3 linked regions of the Drosophila melanogaster genome follow. Changing the gene in region 1 together with any one later gene gives a genetic interaction. Each region holds a gene or a part of one and is shown in the gene's direction. Other genes may lie near its edges.

Region 1 (5,305 bases):
CTGCAATGCCGGAGGATGCTGCGGCTGAGCTGCTTAACCAAAATGCTCCAATAAATAATCCAACTCACCTCTGTGATGCGGCAATTAAAATAGATAGGTTTTTGTTTACCGTTTATATTAAAGCTATGTTTTAGTCATAATGATTTTGATTAATTGAGAAAATTCAAAATATGCAATCATACATACAATGCAATACAATACATACATACAATCATACAAACAATAAACTTTTTAATATCCGAACTTACAATGAATCGTACTTTCAGATGCTTTTGACTTATTTTTGCAACAATTTCTCTATTTCTATTTTCAATAATTAACCACCCCTTTCACTTTTCAATTGATTTTGTAAAATTAATTTTTGGCCAAAATTTTCGCATTTTTTGTAAGGGGTACCATCATCAAAATTTGCAAAAAAATGAAAAATCCTAGAATTCCCAAACTTGAATGCAAATCGATTGGAATTTAAAAAACAAACTCAACGATGTATGACATTCCATATTTGAGTCATTATTTTCAATGTTTTGATCAAAATACCGAATATTTTTTTCACAAAAAATCTGGAAACTACTTTTGGCAAAAAACTCAATTTTCAAGTTGGCTTTTTTGGCTATAACTTGTCTAAAAATGGTCACAGAGCAAAAAGAATTACCATTTTATACTCCTTATGACCAATACTAACAACCCCTATCACTTTAAAACGGATTTTGTAAAATTAATTTTTGGCCAAATTTTCACATTTTTTGTAAGGGGTAACATCATCAAAATTTGCAAAAAAATGAAAAATCCTAGAATTCCCAAACTTGAATGCAAATCGATTGGGATTTAAAAAACAAACTCAACGAGGTATGACATTCCATATTTGAGTCATTATTTTCAATGTTTTGATCAAAATACCGAATATTTTTTTCACAAAAAATCTGGGAACTACTTTTGGCAAAAAACTCAATTTTCAAGTTGGCTCTTTTGGCTATAACTTGTCTAAAAATGGTCACAGAGCAAAAATAATTACCATTTTATACTCCTTATGACCAATACTAACAACCCCTATCACTTTAAAACGGATTTTGTAAAATTAATTTTTGGACAAATTTTCGCATTTTTTGTAAGGGGTACCATCATCAAAATTTGCAAAAAAATGAAAAATTCTAGAATTCCCAAACTTGAATGCAAATCGATTGGGATTTAAAAAACAAACTCAACGAGGTATGACTTTCCATATTTGAGTCATTATTTTCAATGTTTTGATCAAAATACCGAATATTTTTTTCACAAAAAATCTGGAAACTACTTTTGGCAAAAAACTCAATTTTCAAGTTGGCTTTTTTGGCTATAACTTGTCTAAAAATGGTCACAGAGCAAAAAGAATTACCATTTTATACTCCTTATGACCAATACTAACAACCCCTATCACTTTAAAACGGATTTTGTAAAATTAATTTTTGGCCAAATTTTCACATTTTTTGTAAGGGGTAACATCATCAAAATTTGCAAAAAAATGAAAAATCCTAGAATTCCCAAACTTGAATGCAAATCGATTGGGATTTAAAAAACAAACTCAACGAGGTATGACATTCCATATTTGAGTCATTATTTTCAATGTTTTGATCAAAATACCGAATATTTTTTTCACAAAAAATCTGGGAACTACTTTTGGCAAAAAACTCAATTTTCAAGTTGGCTCTTTTGGCTATAACTTGTCTAAAAATGGTCACAGAGCAAAAATAATTACCATTTTATACTCCTTATGACCAATACTAACAACCCCTATCACTTTAAAACGGATTTTGTAAAATTAATTTTTGGACAAATTTTCGCATTTTTTGTAAGGGGTACCATCATCAAAATTTGCAAAAAAATGAAAAATTCTAGAATTCCCAAACTTGAATGCAAATCGATTGGGATTTAAAAAACAAACTCAACGAGGTATGACATTCCATATTTGAGTCATTATTTTCAATGTTTTGATCAAAATACCGAATATTTTTTTCACAAAAAATCTGGAAACTACTTTTGGCAAAAAACTCAATTTTCAAGTTGGCTTTTTTGGCTATAACTTGTCTAAAAATGGTCACAGAGCAAAAAGAATTACCATTTTATACTCCTTATGACCAATACTAACAACCCCTATCACTTTAAAACGGATTTTGTAAAATTAATTTTTGGCCAAATTTTCACATTTTTTGTAAGGGGTACCATCATCAAAATTTGCAAAAAAATGAAAAATCCTAGAATTCCCAAACTTGAATGCAAATCGATTGGGATTTAAAAAACAAACTCAACGAGGTATGACATTCCATATTTGAGTCATTATTTTTAATGTTTTGATCAAAATACCGATTATTTTCTTCACAGAAAACTGGGAAACTATTTTTGGCAAAAAACTCAATGTTTAAGTTCGCTTTTGTGGCTATAACTTGACTAAAAATGGACTCACAGCAAAAAGAATTACCATTTTATACTCCTTATGATCAACACTAACCATCCCTTTAACTTTTTAATTGATTTTGTAAAATTAATTTTTGGACAAATTTTCGCATTTTTTGTAAGGGGTACGTACCATCATCAAAATTTGCAAAAAAATGAAAAATTCTAGAATTCCCAAACTTGAATGCAAATCGATTGGGATTTAAAAAACAAACTCAACGAGGTATGACATTCCATATTTGAGTCATTATTTTCAATGTTTTGATCAAAATACCGAATATTTTTTTCACAAAAAATCTGGAAACTACTTTTGGCAAAAAACTCAATTTTCAAGTTGGCTTTTTTGGCTATAACTTGTCTAAAAATGGCCTCACAGCAAAAAGAAAAGAAGTCAAGAAGATTACGCATGGCAAAAAAGCAATATTTACGGAAGATAATGTATTTATATACCTAAGCTAAGCTTTATATGGTAAACTACCTAAGCTAAGCTATAATAATGCATTATAAATTTACCAACAAGTCACATACAGCATTTTGAATCTTCCGCCAAATGAAATTTCCGCGTAATCGCGAATACCCCATATGTAGTAACTTTCTGACAGACCGAGTGCGATCTGGCAGCACCGCTCAGAACATATGTTCAGTTGTCTGGTGGAAAGAAGAAGCACAGATGCGGCGCCTGGTGCGAAATTGGAATTGCCGATTGTTATTTAACGCCAAATCCGGCCAAGAAATTGTCAGCCATGCCGGAATTCACCAGGAGGCCAAGACCAATGCGATTCCCAGGGAAAAGAAAGTGATTGAGGCGGACAAGAATGGATACGGGGCCAAACATTGCATGAGTCTAGTGGAGTAAGTAGCGCAAACTTGTCGATTGAAGTTATCCGTATAATTGAACATGGATCTATTCCGGATAACCAGGAAATACGACTACGAGAACTACCTGTGCACCTTGCTCCTACCACGGGAACTGCGACGTGCTGCCTTCGCCCTACGGGCATTCAATGTGGAGGTCTCCAGATCGGTTAGCGGCCATGTGAGTGGAGCATCGAAATTCCTTGGGGCTTATTTTTTAAGTTAGAATAACGTGGCGCCTTAAATTCAGACTCCGTTCAGACTCTGTTACTCCGCATCAATATTATTGTAAGCATAAGTGGCTTATGTCCGCATCTCATGAATATTATTACCATTTCGAACGGTTTCACAAATCTCTTAATTTCTTATGTACACTGCAAGAGTATAATTTCTCTCCTTCCTTTAAAACGGATAGAGAAATTCGTAGAATAAGCAACACTTCGTAGTTTTTAAACTTCTTATTTCTGTCCAGTAAAATCGTTTATATAATGACAAATATCCTTGCAGCAAATTGAGCCGCAAATAGCCAAAATGCGCCTTAAGTTCTGGCACGACTCCATAGACAAGTGCTTTGAGCCGGATTCCCAAAGATCGTACGTGGAGGACCAGCCTGTCCTGCGCGAACTGAAGCACACGGTGGGCAGTCGCAAGCTAAATAAGGTATATTTGCGCCGTCTGGTCACAGCACGGGAACGTCCGCCCACGCATGCATTTGAGTCGATACGCGAGCTGGAGGAGTACACGGAACAGACCTTCTCTTCGCTATTGCTCCTGCTGTTGGAGGTGGGCGGAGTGCGTGACCTAAATGCTGATCATGCCGCCTCCCACTTGGGCAAGGCCCAAGGCATCGCCACCCTGCTGCGATCGATACCGCTGGCAGGACGTCAGCAGGCGCCCTGCATTCCGCTCGAGGTGCTGGTGCTGCATGGCGTCAGCCAGGAGCGCATCATTCGCTCTAAGAGCGACGACAAGGGTGTCGAGGACTGTATATTCGATGTGGCCAGTGCCGCCAATACGCACCTAAAGCTCGCCAGGCAGCTGCACGATAAGGTGCCGCCGCAGGTGCGCAAGATCTTCCTCTCCGCCGTGGCCACGGATGCATATTTGGAGCGCCTCCGCCGTGCCAACTTCCTGTGAGTTCCTTTGTTTTATATTGCTTTGTTTTATATTACGACAAACACAGGAGAGAACCAGCTTCTTTTTGTAGTTAAGATGTTATTTTTATCCAGTTATAAGTACGATTTGCCTTTATTGAGACTTCTTTATTTCAAAACCTAGCTATAGTTTGTTGGTTGTTCAGTATTCATGGAGCGGACCCTTCTTTTTATCAATCCCCATAATAATATAATAATTTTCCCATCTTATAGGCTAACCCACAAGAGCTGCGTAGGCCGCGACACCTTACTGCCAGCACGTTTATTCTGGAAGTCGCTGCTTAATCGGTTCTGATAGCGATTATGTTAGTATGTAGTACGAAATAAATTCTTCATTGTTGACTTCTTTAATAAAAATCACTTTAAAATAAGAGCTCTTACTTTTTCTCGAATCAATAGAAGAGGATTTCCAATGTTTATAAGAATACGAATATGAATCGGATCGGGGATCTTTTGGATGAAATGGGTTAAGAACGGTTGCAGGAATATCGCTATCTCGCTTCGAATCGGGACGTAATTACTATCGATGACAGGTGCACCAAAGGTTCGTCCCGACGAAGGTATCGGTGGATACGATGCAAGACCCGATTGGTACAGTAGTTGCTAGCTGATTTCAGAGCGTTTCAGGCGCAGTTTTAGTTTTTTATGAATGTTAGAATTGATGTGGAAAGTGTGTGTTGGATATTAATGAGAACGGAGCAGTGCGACGATCGCTCAACAAGATAAGCACCGTTTGTTTTTGGGCCCGTTTCCGGCTTCCGGTTGCTAGTTCCGGAAAAATTGCAACGCCTACTTTACGCGTACTTTTGGCATGGTGAGTTTTTGGCGCGCTTTCTTCGCACTCCTGGATTGAACTTTGTAAACCCAGA
Region 2 (5,079 bases), on another chromosome or scaffold:
TAAAGGTCGCCGGAGTGTGTATCCACCCACTTGATGTTGCTGCTCCAGCTGTCCTCGCCTGGATGTTATTTAGCCGACAGTTTAGTGTAATCCCCCCGGGGGAATGGGACTCGGGACTCCTTTTTTATGTCAACTGTTGATTGCAGCAGTGCACAGCTCCGAAAGGATATCAAAACGCAGCTGAACTGCAGCAATAATCAAAATTAATTCAATTTCGGCGGCTGGCTTTAAAGGTAGCCACTTAATTAAATGGCCACACGCGTGCTCCATATGTACATCCCCATATCCTGTGGCACTGAACTGATTTTCATGCATCTGGCAAAAATCTGCTTAAATCAAATTACATTCAACAAAATGCCCATAAAGCGAATGAATAACCACAAAATATTCGAGCACTTAAAATGGCAAAGTGATTGAATTGTGGGCAGGGTTTTTCGAGAAGCGAACGTGACACGATCCAGTTTTTAAAACCATTATGTTAATGGAACCGCTATATTTTTTCAAAACTGGGACTTCATTTGTGTTTACTCATTAAAGATACGTTCACTCTTATCCAAGTTCGTTTCGAATATTGTGTTTTGATGCTTAGCTCTACGTTTTTTTGGTATTATGGAGACTTTAGTAAAGTATATTACCCTATAGTAATTGAAAGGCATATTTGTGTTCACGCACTCATCTCCAATTGTCAATGCACCATAAACCGCACAAATGCACCACAGTGACAGGTTACAATGGGGACCAAGCTGGGGAAATATTAAACATTGACCTGAAAGTTTATTTAAGCACAATTTCATGACATTAAAGGTAGCTAGCTGAAGATGCTTAACCCCGCTGTACTACTATTGGCATACGCCCATGGCTGCACCTTCCGAAAACTGCACTTATGCCCTGTAATAACCAGCTCTCATCTGTCCTCTCCCAGCTGCAGGCTTACGATTTCCTTTGATCAAATTATCCCTGAAACCCCACTCCGCCGGCAGCCCTCAAGGATTGCACCTGTTTTTAAGCTCAGATGTCCGGCAAATGCGTACATATTTTAAATTTAATTACTACACGCTGCATGCAGCAAACAGTGGCAGCCACAGCAAATCCGAGCCAGGACATCCATCCATCCATCCAAATGGGGCAAGCACAATCCTTTCGGTGGGGCAATGCGCTATGAACTCCCTTGCCCGAATAGTTGGCTGGCCATTCAAAATCTGCGCTAGCCGCACATGGATAAAAATATGAGTGCACCATGCGAGGGTGGATCGAAGCCATTTGTCATATAATAAGAAGAAAAAGGACCAAGAAAAGGATTTGATGTATCGTTTGTTTTGTTTTCATTACAGGATATTTTTTGATCATGGGCCATATGATTTCTTTACAACTAATGACGCCTTCCTTACTTACCAATCCACTCCTGTCGAAACATATATCACCTGAAATGCCTCTCCCTGCCCCTAAAAACCCCTTCGTGCACACAGACGCTTCAGCGTTCGTCCTGCGGGCATTTTTGCACATGTAACTCAATTTGTGGTTTACATTTAATTAATTTAATAATATATGGGGAAATTAAATTCTCTTCCTTCCCAGCTGCAAAGAGAAAAACCGCAGAAATCTCGCCACTGTCAACAATTCATCTGACCAGTCCGAGAACGAGCTGAAGAAGGATACGAGCTGAAGGAACCTCAAAATATGCGAACATTTGTAGTTATATCGAGCAACGCCGGCAAAGCGCTCAACAGATGGCGCTGGCAGAAGTGCGAAGAGATGGCGCCACAAACGGAATCCACATGAAGGGAAAAGCTCTCCTGTGGGTGGATGCTAAGAAATACCATTTATTTATTTAAATATTGCAGTGGTACCAAATTTAAAATATTTTAGTAAAATCAGTGTAGCAGAAATACATTTTTATTATAGTGTCATAAAACTTGTAATACTTGGAAGTAATTGAATATGCAAAGGTATTAATATAAATAATTATATAAATGGTTAAGATGTAACTTAAATTAAAGGTGTCTGATTAATACGTATGCAATAACTGAAATAGTCATTCTGATTTGCGAACTGAATAATTCATTTCTGCTTACTCACTATTCAATTTCACTTTGCCATATCAGGGCATTGAACCTACTAAGTTGCGATCTCTCTTAATTAATTGACCCCCGTAATTGCAGTGCAAATTGTTCCGCTTTGCATGCGGAAGCCCTTATCGAAAGCGAATTATCGCGATGTGCATACAGAAATTAAGTGAGTTGTATTGGGATTGTTTTCCATAGCTGCCTCCTAGCGATTGTAACAAGAGCAATATGTTCTGATTCTGCAATCAGATCGTCTGCATTTCACTTTGTTCACATGGGCAATCCGATTCGGCGCACTCGAAAAGCTCGCTCGCGAAAAGCAAAGCTCTCGCATCCAGCGTATAAAAGATACAATGCAGATGCAGTCGAACCTCAGTTCTAAGCCAGAAGTAGAACGGATACCAAGTTCAGTGGATAGCGACCGTATCTCCCAGTATATTCCAGAATGAATCATCACTCGAGGTAAGCGCCACTCGCTGAGCACTAGCTCCAAGTTATTTACATTTCATTAATCATCCCCACAGTTCGCACCTGTTGCTGCTTATCTCCGTGGTATTTGGGGCAGTATGGGTGGCCCATGCCCAGGTGCCATTTCCTGGCAAGTGCCCAGATGTTAAGCTACTGGACACCTTCGACGCGGAAGCGGTGAGTTCTGACCTTAGGCCAACCATCTCGCATCGCATGTTAATCATGTCATTCTGATAGATTTAGAATAGGAAAGTCTAAACGATCAGTTGCAAGCGAACATGCCAATAAAGGCACTTCAAAGTCTCAATAGTTATGAACTAAAATTTAAATATAAGGGTATATATCGAATTAAGCGATATTAGTAAAACTTCACATGGTTTACCAATTGGGGAAATTCGATCTTCAAATTTAAAATTTCGTTAGTTTTGCAAAATTGATAGATAGCGAAAACTATAATGATAAGATAAGCAAATTGCTTTCATATTAATAAAGTGCACTGTTCTTACAGCTTTCTAGGTAAATATTTGTATTTGGTATTTTTTTAATTATCGGACCTTACTTATCTAATGTAGCTATAATTATTTCCACAGTTTTAAATAACAAGTAAACACTTCGTGCTGTAGTTTGTATTACTTATTATATGACCATCTGCTTAAACGTAATATTCTTACATTGTATTTATTACTATTATTATTTCGAATACTTCAGTATATGGGCGTCTGGTACGAGTACGCAGCCTATCCATTTGCTTTCGAGATCGGCAAGAAGTGCATCTACGCCAACTACAGTCTCATAGACAACAGCACTGTTTCGGTGGTGAATGCGGCCATCAATCGATTGTGAGTATCAAGTAGTATAATCTGAAACACTCCATTTAATCAAAAAATCGATGAAAAAGCACCGGACAACCCTCGAATGTAACTGGACAGGCCAAGGTCCTTGGACCCGGTCAATTGGCCGTGGCCTTTTACCCGACGCGTGAGTAATGCCAATTTTAGGTGGTCTCTTTAACAAACATTTTTTTGCTTATCCAATACATTTTAGAGCCATTGACGAAGGCCAACTACCTGGTTTTGGGCACAGATTACGAGTCATACGCCGTCGTCTACAGCTGCACCAGTGTAACACCTTTGGCCAATTTCAGTGAGTTAATGGGGTGTCTAGTCAGCTTGTCAGCATATTCATATGCGAACTGTGTCACTAAACTAAAATGGAGTGACAAGCACTTACGCCAGAATGATAATTATAATTTTAATTGCAGAAATTGTTTGGATCTTGACTCGTCAGCGTGAACCTTCAGCGGAAGCGGTTGATGCGGCCAGAAAGATCTTGGAAGACAACGATGTATCCCAGGCCTTCCTCATCGATACTGTTCAGAAGAACTGTCCCCGGTTGGATGGTAATGGCACTGGGCTGGCCGGAGAGGATGGCCTCGATGTGGATGACTTCGTGTCTACCACGGTGCCAAATGCCATTGAAAAGGCATGAGAATGGCTCCGACGCCTCTACGAGCGTCTCTACGACATTTTTATGAACTTCCTAAGTTACTAAGTGTCATGTTATCACAGAGGTCGTATTTCAGATGCTAAATGTTCTTTGGTGCTTCAATTTAAGTTTGTTGTTATTGCGAGGAATAAATAAATAGAAAACCGATCATGTAAAGACTTTATACAACTGAGAGATGTACACGATCAAGTGACTCAATGGAACGGTTCCGCTTTTGTTTTAAACGCTGTGCGAAACTCTTGTGCTCCGCAAAATCTTGATTATTTTTCATTAAACCGTATCCAGTGGATTCAAATAAACCAGACTAAATGATTCAGTTTGCAGTTTTACTCAAACCGTTCCAGCATGATCAAGTGGAAGATCTTCGTGTGAGTGCAGCCTCTGAATATCAGCTATATGAATATTGAATACCCTACATAATTCTTCGAAAGCCCTGCAATCCTATATCTTCAATCCTCCATGGCCATGCGGGCCTTTCACGGAGCCTGTCCCTCCAATATGACGGCTGTTGGGGATTTGGACATGGACCGATTCAAAGGAAAGTGGTACACCCACTCGATATATCCTCATCTCTCGTTGCGAGTGGAGAAATGTCAGTCGACGGATTTCATAGAGAAGGAAGAGAATAAATTCAGCGTTGTGGCCCGGGAACTGAACACCCAGTGAGTGATTTTAAATATTTTGAAACAACTCTATAAGCCATATTTACAGAACTGGTACTGTAAAGATGAGAAAGGCAGACATACTGAACGTGGAGCCAGAATTTGGGCGGTATGTTTTGGGCACAACAAGTACGGGTAAATTATGGTGGAATTAGTTAAACCAATTAAAGCGAGTTATTAACGTATTTTATTGCAGCATTTCCTGAGGGCGTTCTCATGTACGTTCTGGATACCGATTATGTGAACTTCGCCATTCGATTTATGTGCTTTGATGCCAGCAAAATATTCAGCTTTCGTGAGTGCAGTGCTGTGAATAATAAATACTTTCCCCTAATACGATTCCATTGATCCCATAGATTGGGCTGTCATCCAGACCCGAA
Region 3 (5,914 bases), 7.4 Mb from region 1:
ACCTACAAGTTTCATCTGCAATGGCCAAGAATCGTAGTAAGTATATAGTAGTTGGAAACTTTCACCCAATTAGATGGAATAATATTTTGGTAGTTCCCAAGACAGGAACACAAACAAAAGTATCATAAGTATCAGCACGCTCCACGAGCATTTTTTTTTTTTTGTTTTGTGTTTTTCTGTTGTCTACTATGGGCAATAAAAACATCACGGAAAATTAAAACAAATAACGAAAAGCACGCAAACGGCGGAGATACAGACTTAAAAATGGAAACGGGTATTTGTTGAATTTGTTTAAAATCAAGAACCTGGCAAAAGTTAGCCAGTCAATGGCCCACAGCGAATTTTTGCCTTCCAATGCTGGTGTGATGTCTCATCGCCATCCCCATCATCATCATTGCCATCGTAGTGAATGAAATGATGATGTATTCGATTTCCATAAGCACGTACTACCTGCGGGCACACACATGTATGTACATACATACGTATGTATGTATATTCCATTCATATCCCTATGCACAAATGTACATACATATGTATGTATGTATGTATTATTGCACATATTAATTCCGTCATAATTGCAGGGAATCGCTCTCGATTTGTTTGTCCATTTATCTCCGGCTGGAGCATTGTAATTGCTTTGGCCAACAGAGTGGCAATTGCCAATCGGAACAGCGAAACGCGAGTGGAGTGCCCGCCAAACCGCAAACACCTGTTGGTGCAAAAGTTGGCAGAACACGGCGAGAAAACAGGGGGCCACTTCTCCTGCTATGGAATAATAATTTATTTATGTATCTACCCAAGAACCGATGGACTGTTGATGTATCGTTTATATTATTTAATAATGCCGAATAAATTATTAAAAACAAAAACTAGCAATGCTATATTCCATTGGCCATCACACTTTCTCCAAGTGCAAGGTTAAGGTGACAGGGGCGATAGGTTGCCGCCGGAACAAACGACTTACTTGTGTCGTCGTATCTAAGGAGTTTTCATGTGGGGAGAACTAGTGGGAGTTGGGTGAGAGAGCGCGGGCGAGCCAGAAAGAGAGAGAGAGAGTGGGCAGAGTGCACAGTGGAGCAATGCGGTGAAACCGAAATAGAACCGTGAGTCAGATTAATTAATTCGCTGTGCACTTGGTAACTTATTGATGGGACCGCAAGGATTGACAAATGAAGGATGGCTGGCTCATTACTAATTGATAAATGATCGAAAGCTTGGATTTTCTTTTCTTTAAATTGATGGGGATTAAGGTAAATGGTTTACATAATTACTTTATTGCCGTCGTAAAAATGAGAAATAGGATATACGGAATCCTTAAAATATTACAGGAAGGGATAAAATCGTAATTGTTCTTTTTTTTTACGAGCGACCAAACGATCGTTAATTGTGGTTAACCCTAGAAAACCTCTTAGGGGTTGCTACGAGTGAGGACTCAATACTTAATCTAGCCCAACCAAATTTTGCTACACAGTTAACTTTGGTTAATCATGAGTTCATTAATGTTTTTATGTTTTAAAGGACCTAAATATGCAATAGATATCAGGTATGAATTATAAATTCATTTGCATATGTTTGTGCATACATTTTTATTTTTTTGTATTCATCAGCACCGAAGTTCAAAATTGTTCTCTGTGTATGGGTATTTGTCTACCAACCAATTAGTGGCTACTGTCTACCTGGCCTGCGACCTTTGAACTTGCTGTGTGGCCGGCAAGTGGCAACAGTTGGTCGGCCATAGAGCGGCTCTATAAAGATCTATTTTCCCCTTACTCTCTGTCTCTCTCTCTCTCTCTGTCTGTTTGTAGCTCTCTCTTTTTTCCCATAAGATGATTTCTGAACGCAGATAATTATTCTTATTCTTATTATATTTTTGTATTAATTTGAGCCAATAATTTTGCCTTTTTCCAAAATTAGTTAAGCATAATAATTTCTATTATATTTCTTATTAATTTAGAAACGTGTTCAGCTCAAAGCTAAACAAAAACATGTCAAAAGAAACGGAATTTTTGTTCAGTGCAATAAGATCTCTGAGCGGATCTATTCAACAGTCCAAGTTCTACGTCGTCATCATGATGGTGTAAACACATTTGCCAAATCACATCACAGCCCACTGTTGAGCCGGTCTTGTGAGAGTGCGATAGAGAGGGGTCGCCCAGGCCAAGACAGAGAGACAGAGAAAGAGACAGGTGGAGAGAGAGGGAAGGCTATTGCCCGGCAACTGCTAATTGGGATGGCTAAATGCTGCATTGCATCCTCTGCCGCGATTCCTGCTGCACTTACGGTGCATCGTCGTCTATCCTGGCGCTGCCCACGCACGAAGAGAGAAGTTCACACTCTTCCCGCCTTCCGCCGGCGGTACAGAGCAAAAAAAAATTTTATTAATTTCGGTTAATTACAAATTTGTACCAGGGACTTAAGCTAACGAATTTCAGAACCGAAACATTCATAAGCTTATGCTTAACAACGTAATTATATAAAATAAATAAAATTGGGAATTTGCTAGCATGCCAAGCATGTGATGTGTAATGTGATCCTTGGTCAAGAGATTTACATTCTCTCTTGCTTGCCCAATGCAAATTTCTCTCAGTGTACGGGCCAGCTCTCTCCGACCATCTCGCTCTCGTTCCGCCGTTTTGCTTTGCCAGTGACTTTGCTTTGCTTTGGCGTAGAGAATGCTATAAAGCAGACCGCAGCAGTGGAATAGCAGCAAGTCGACTGCTGGCCGCGTAACAGTAAACACACCAACGAGCGGACGTACACGGAGCGAAAGAAGAAGTTGGCTACCACGAAAGAGTTATTGTTTGTTAGAAACACCAAGCGCAGCAGCAGCAGCAGCAGTACAAATATTATTGTGTGCCGTCCGAAGAGAACAGCTGAGCCACACGCTGTTTTTTAACGCTGTTCCGTTCTGCGGCACTTGCTGTTTGTTATCCGTATCCGTCGTGTTTCGTCGTCGTATTTGAACTCTCTTTTTGTTACTGTGCATATATTTTTGAAATCTCTGTGCTGCACACAGCGCAGGGGGAAAAGTGCTAGAATTAGCAGATCATCAAGACATCTGGCTAACCTGTGATTTCCAACACACCCGAAGGCAAATTGGCAACAAGTTACCACCGTAAGTCTCGTGTCGATCAACAAGTGAAGATGTTAGTTAAGTGTGGCAAAAGAACTGAACAAGAATTTATTGCATTTGCAAATATACATATGTACTATACCGATAGGAACGCGTTTTAAGAAAGTAATCATGCTTTTAATTTACGTGATGTGTGACTGTTATTTGTGATTCAATATAAGAAGATTAAGAAGATTAATAAGATTTTGTGAAATTTTCAAACTATGCCCAAGACAAATGTAGCCCACTGTTTTGGGGGTAGGGGATTTTCAGAAGCTTTGCTTTTGAGCATAAACCGTAATTAGAAGGCATTAAAAACGTGTGATTTGGAAATTCGTGAATTAAACCTTATAGGATTTCTCTCTCTCTCTCTCTCTGTGAGAGAGTGTGAGAACCCAAATTGAGTTTAAGAATTAGCTGAAGTTTCCATAATAACCACTGGCCAAGTGATTAGTTCACATGGTGGGTGGAATCCGTCTAGTCCAAACCATAATCCCCTGCCCAGTCTGATCTGATCCCGGAACCAAATTGAGTTTTGCCAAAGGTTTCAGCATTTTTCATGTGCATTTTTTTTTCATCTAACCATCGACGGGGAGCAGAAAATGTTTACCAAATTGAATTACACATTTTTATGATGTGCTGGTGCCTTGCTCTTCCCCCTTCCTCAAAGCCACCGCCACCCCGCCGCCTGACAGGCCTCAGGTGCTGTCCTGAATCTGGAAATCCGTGTGTCCGGGTGCCGAAGCCGGAATGGAAGGAGTCCACGTTTTCGAGAGCGGGAATGCATTTATGGCGCCGCCATTAGGGTGGACCAGTAAATTAGGTTAATTGTAGAAAGTAATCGAAAGCTTTAACAGCACCAAATTGCATATTCTGAATCAAGGAGACTGTATTTTTCCCACACTGCAAGTCACATTTCAATATGTAAGTGCTGCATTGAATATGTACATGTTCAACTTATAAATGTGTATTCTATATATATATATATATAGGCACATAATCTATAATCTGTTTTGTAATCACTACTGCTTTTTGCAACTTTATGGTAAAAAATACTTTGTAAATCCTTTGGTGTGCACCAAAATGAGCATGAATGCATAAGCAAACATAAGCGCTTAATTATGAAAACATACCGATTTAACTAGAGTCCTGGATTATAATTGACCGATTATTTGATTAAAAGGCATCCGAGGCATTCAAGAGCAACCAAATATTGTTGGCCGTTGATAACCATTGCTGGTTGCCAAGGTTTCCATAGTATTTGCAATCGGCTCAGAAGTGAAATGCTCTGTCTGAAATTCCGACTTAACTCCCCACCAGATAACCTGTTGCATTTCGCAATGGGGTAAACAATGGAATCACCTGTGCGCCCCCACATTTTGGCCTTCATATGGAAGCACATTCGTGCGCATTCATCTGGAAAATTGATGGTAAATTTCGCATTTAGTTTGATTCTCAATTGAATCAACAGTTCTAAGCCTACTGCTTACGTGTTTGTGCGATGATGATGATGATGTATAATGGTCTATCCACCTTTCGCAAATTTGCAATGGACAAGGAGGCGGTGCAAAGGTCTGTACATAAGTCCAGAATCTCAAGGGGTGATAAGCCTAAAAAAAAGGCAGACTGTTATATGTCAGATACTCGTAGATAGTTAGAGGGGTTTTTCAATGAAAAACTTAGAAGTGTTATTTTGCCTTCTGACACTTCACAATGAATATTCAGAAAAAAAAAAATGGGGAATTAACAAAGCAATATGATTATGATATGATATTATATCAATAGTTTTATTTATCAACATTCAGGTGTGCACTAATTTCTTGCCGCCAAAAACAAAGCCAATCAATAATTTATGTAGATAAGCATTTTGCTTATAACCATGCATTTTCATTATTGAATTGTCATTTTTTATCTTAGTTGAACCCAACTCCGCCTCCTCCGCGTAGATCGTGTGTCAGCCACTTGTCTTGTTTGACAGCACACCCAAGTGGCATTAGCATTTGGGGACTGAAACTGGAACCATTGGCCAGTTTGCCCAAGAGAATTTCTGGGATTGGTTTTGGGTTTCTCCAGTGCACCGCAGTGCACTCCTCTCGGGCCACCACTTCAGTTCACGGAAGGCACCACTTGGTGGGAGTCGGCTTGAAGTACGTGAGTTTATTTGGCTGAGCACAAAAATCAGAGACTCGAACAACACACAAGATCGAAAACAAAAAACAAAATTAAACAAAAAATATAATAAAATAAAAGAAGTGAAGTGAAGAGCAGGGTCGAGAGGAGAGGAGGGGAGAAGTGCCTAGAAATGGTCTGAAATGTGCATTAAACGCTTTGCATAGGAAAGCGACATGGACATGGTATGGGGATTGCGCCGGAGATTGACATTCCCATTCCCATTCCCGTTCGTATTCCTATTCCATTGGGCTACCCACTCCTATTTCCATTTCCCATTCCCTAACCCAAATCCCTACTATACCATTTTCACTTCGAGAATCGCAGAGAACACACAAAACACACATGTGAGAATGTGCCGGGTGTTGGGATTATTTTGTGGCCGGGTGAGGGGCCTTCAGGCCTTCAGGCCTTCGGGCAATAACAATCATTCGAAATGCGCCTTAAAATAGCAAACACCAAACACGTTGCTCATAATCTCCGATGCAATTGAGTGCTGGCAGCCAGCACATGAATGATAACTTTGTCCAGGCCCGCTGGAGTATTAATAGCCATTTCTAGTCCCTATTGAAAGCGAGCATGACGCCCGCTGCCATGCCAACCAGCATCCCCATTGAGCTCCTAACCATGGCC

The links. Genes that interact genetically often act in the same process or in processes that back each other up.
Region 2: of sicily (region 1) and NLaz, changing one suppresses a phenotype caused by changing the other (phenotypic suppression), as found in Drosophila melanogaster (one study listed by BioGRID).
Region 3: of sicily (region 1) and out, changing one suppresses a phenotype caused by changing the other (phenotypic suppression), as found in Drosophila melanogaster (one study listed by BioGRID).

What each region holds. Positions count from the first base shown.
Region 1 is NC_004354.4:11,888,941-11,894,245, forward strand, and holds sicily (severe impairment of CI with lengthened youth), read left to right. Parts: upstream 1-2,791; 5' UTR 2,792-3,097; coding exon 3,098-3,279; intron 3,280-3,348; coding exon 3,349-3,463; intron 3,464-3,789; coding exon 3,790-4,415; intron 4,416-4,649; coding exon 4,650-4,731; 3' UTR 4,732-4,805; downstream 4,806-5,305. Other genes in the region: CG1840 (uncharacterized protein), read left to right, coding at 1-28. UniProt on the Drosophila melanogaster protein: Involved in the assembly of mitochondrial NADH:ubiquinone oxidoreductase complex (Complex I) at early stages. Interacts with cytosolic Hsp90 to chaperone the Complex I subunit ND-42 in the cytoplasm.
Region 2 is NT_033779.5:1,359,087-1,364,165, reverse strand, and holds NLaz (neural lazarillo), read left to right. Parts: upstream 1-2,344; 5' UTR 2,345-2,508; coding exon 2,509-2,525; intron 2,526-2,587; coding exon 2,588-2,708; intron 2,709-3,239; coding exon 3,240-3,370; intron 3,371-3,429; coding exon 3,430-3,509; intron 3,510-3,575; coding exon 3,576-3,674; intron 3,675-3,792; coding exon 3,793-4,019; coding exon of another isoform or gene 4,020-4,082; 3' UTR 4,083-4,329; downstream 4,330-5,079. Other genes in the region: CG31659 (uncharacterized protein), read left to right, coding at 4,383-4,405, 4,469-4,699, 4,749-4,834, 4,896-4,994, 5,056-5,079.
Region 3 is NC_004354.4:19,318,857-19,324,770, reverse strand, and holds the start of out (outsiders), read left to right. Parts: upstream 1-2,664; 5' UTR 2,665-3,115; intron 3,116-5,914.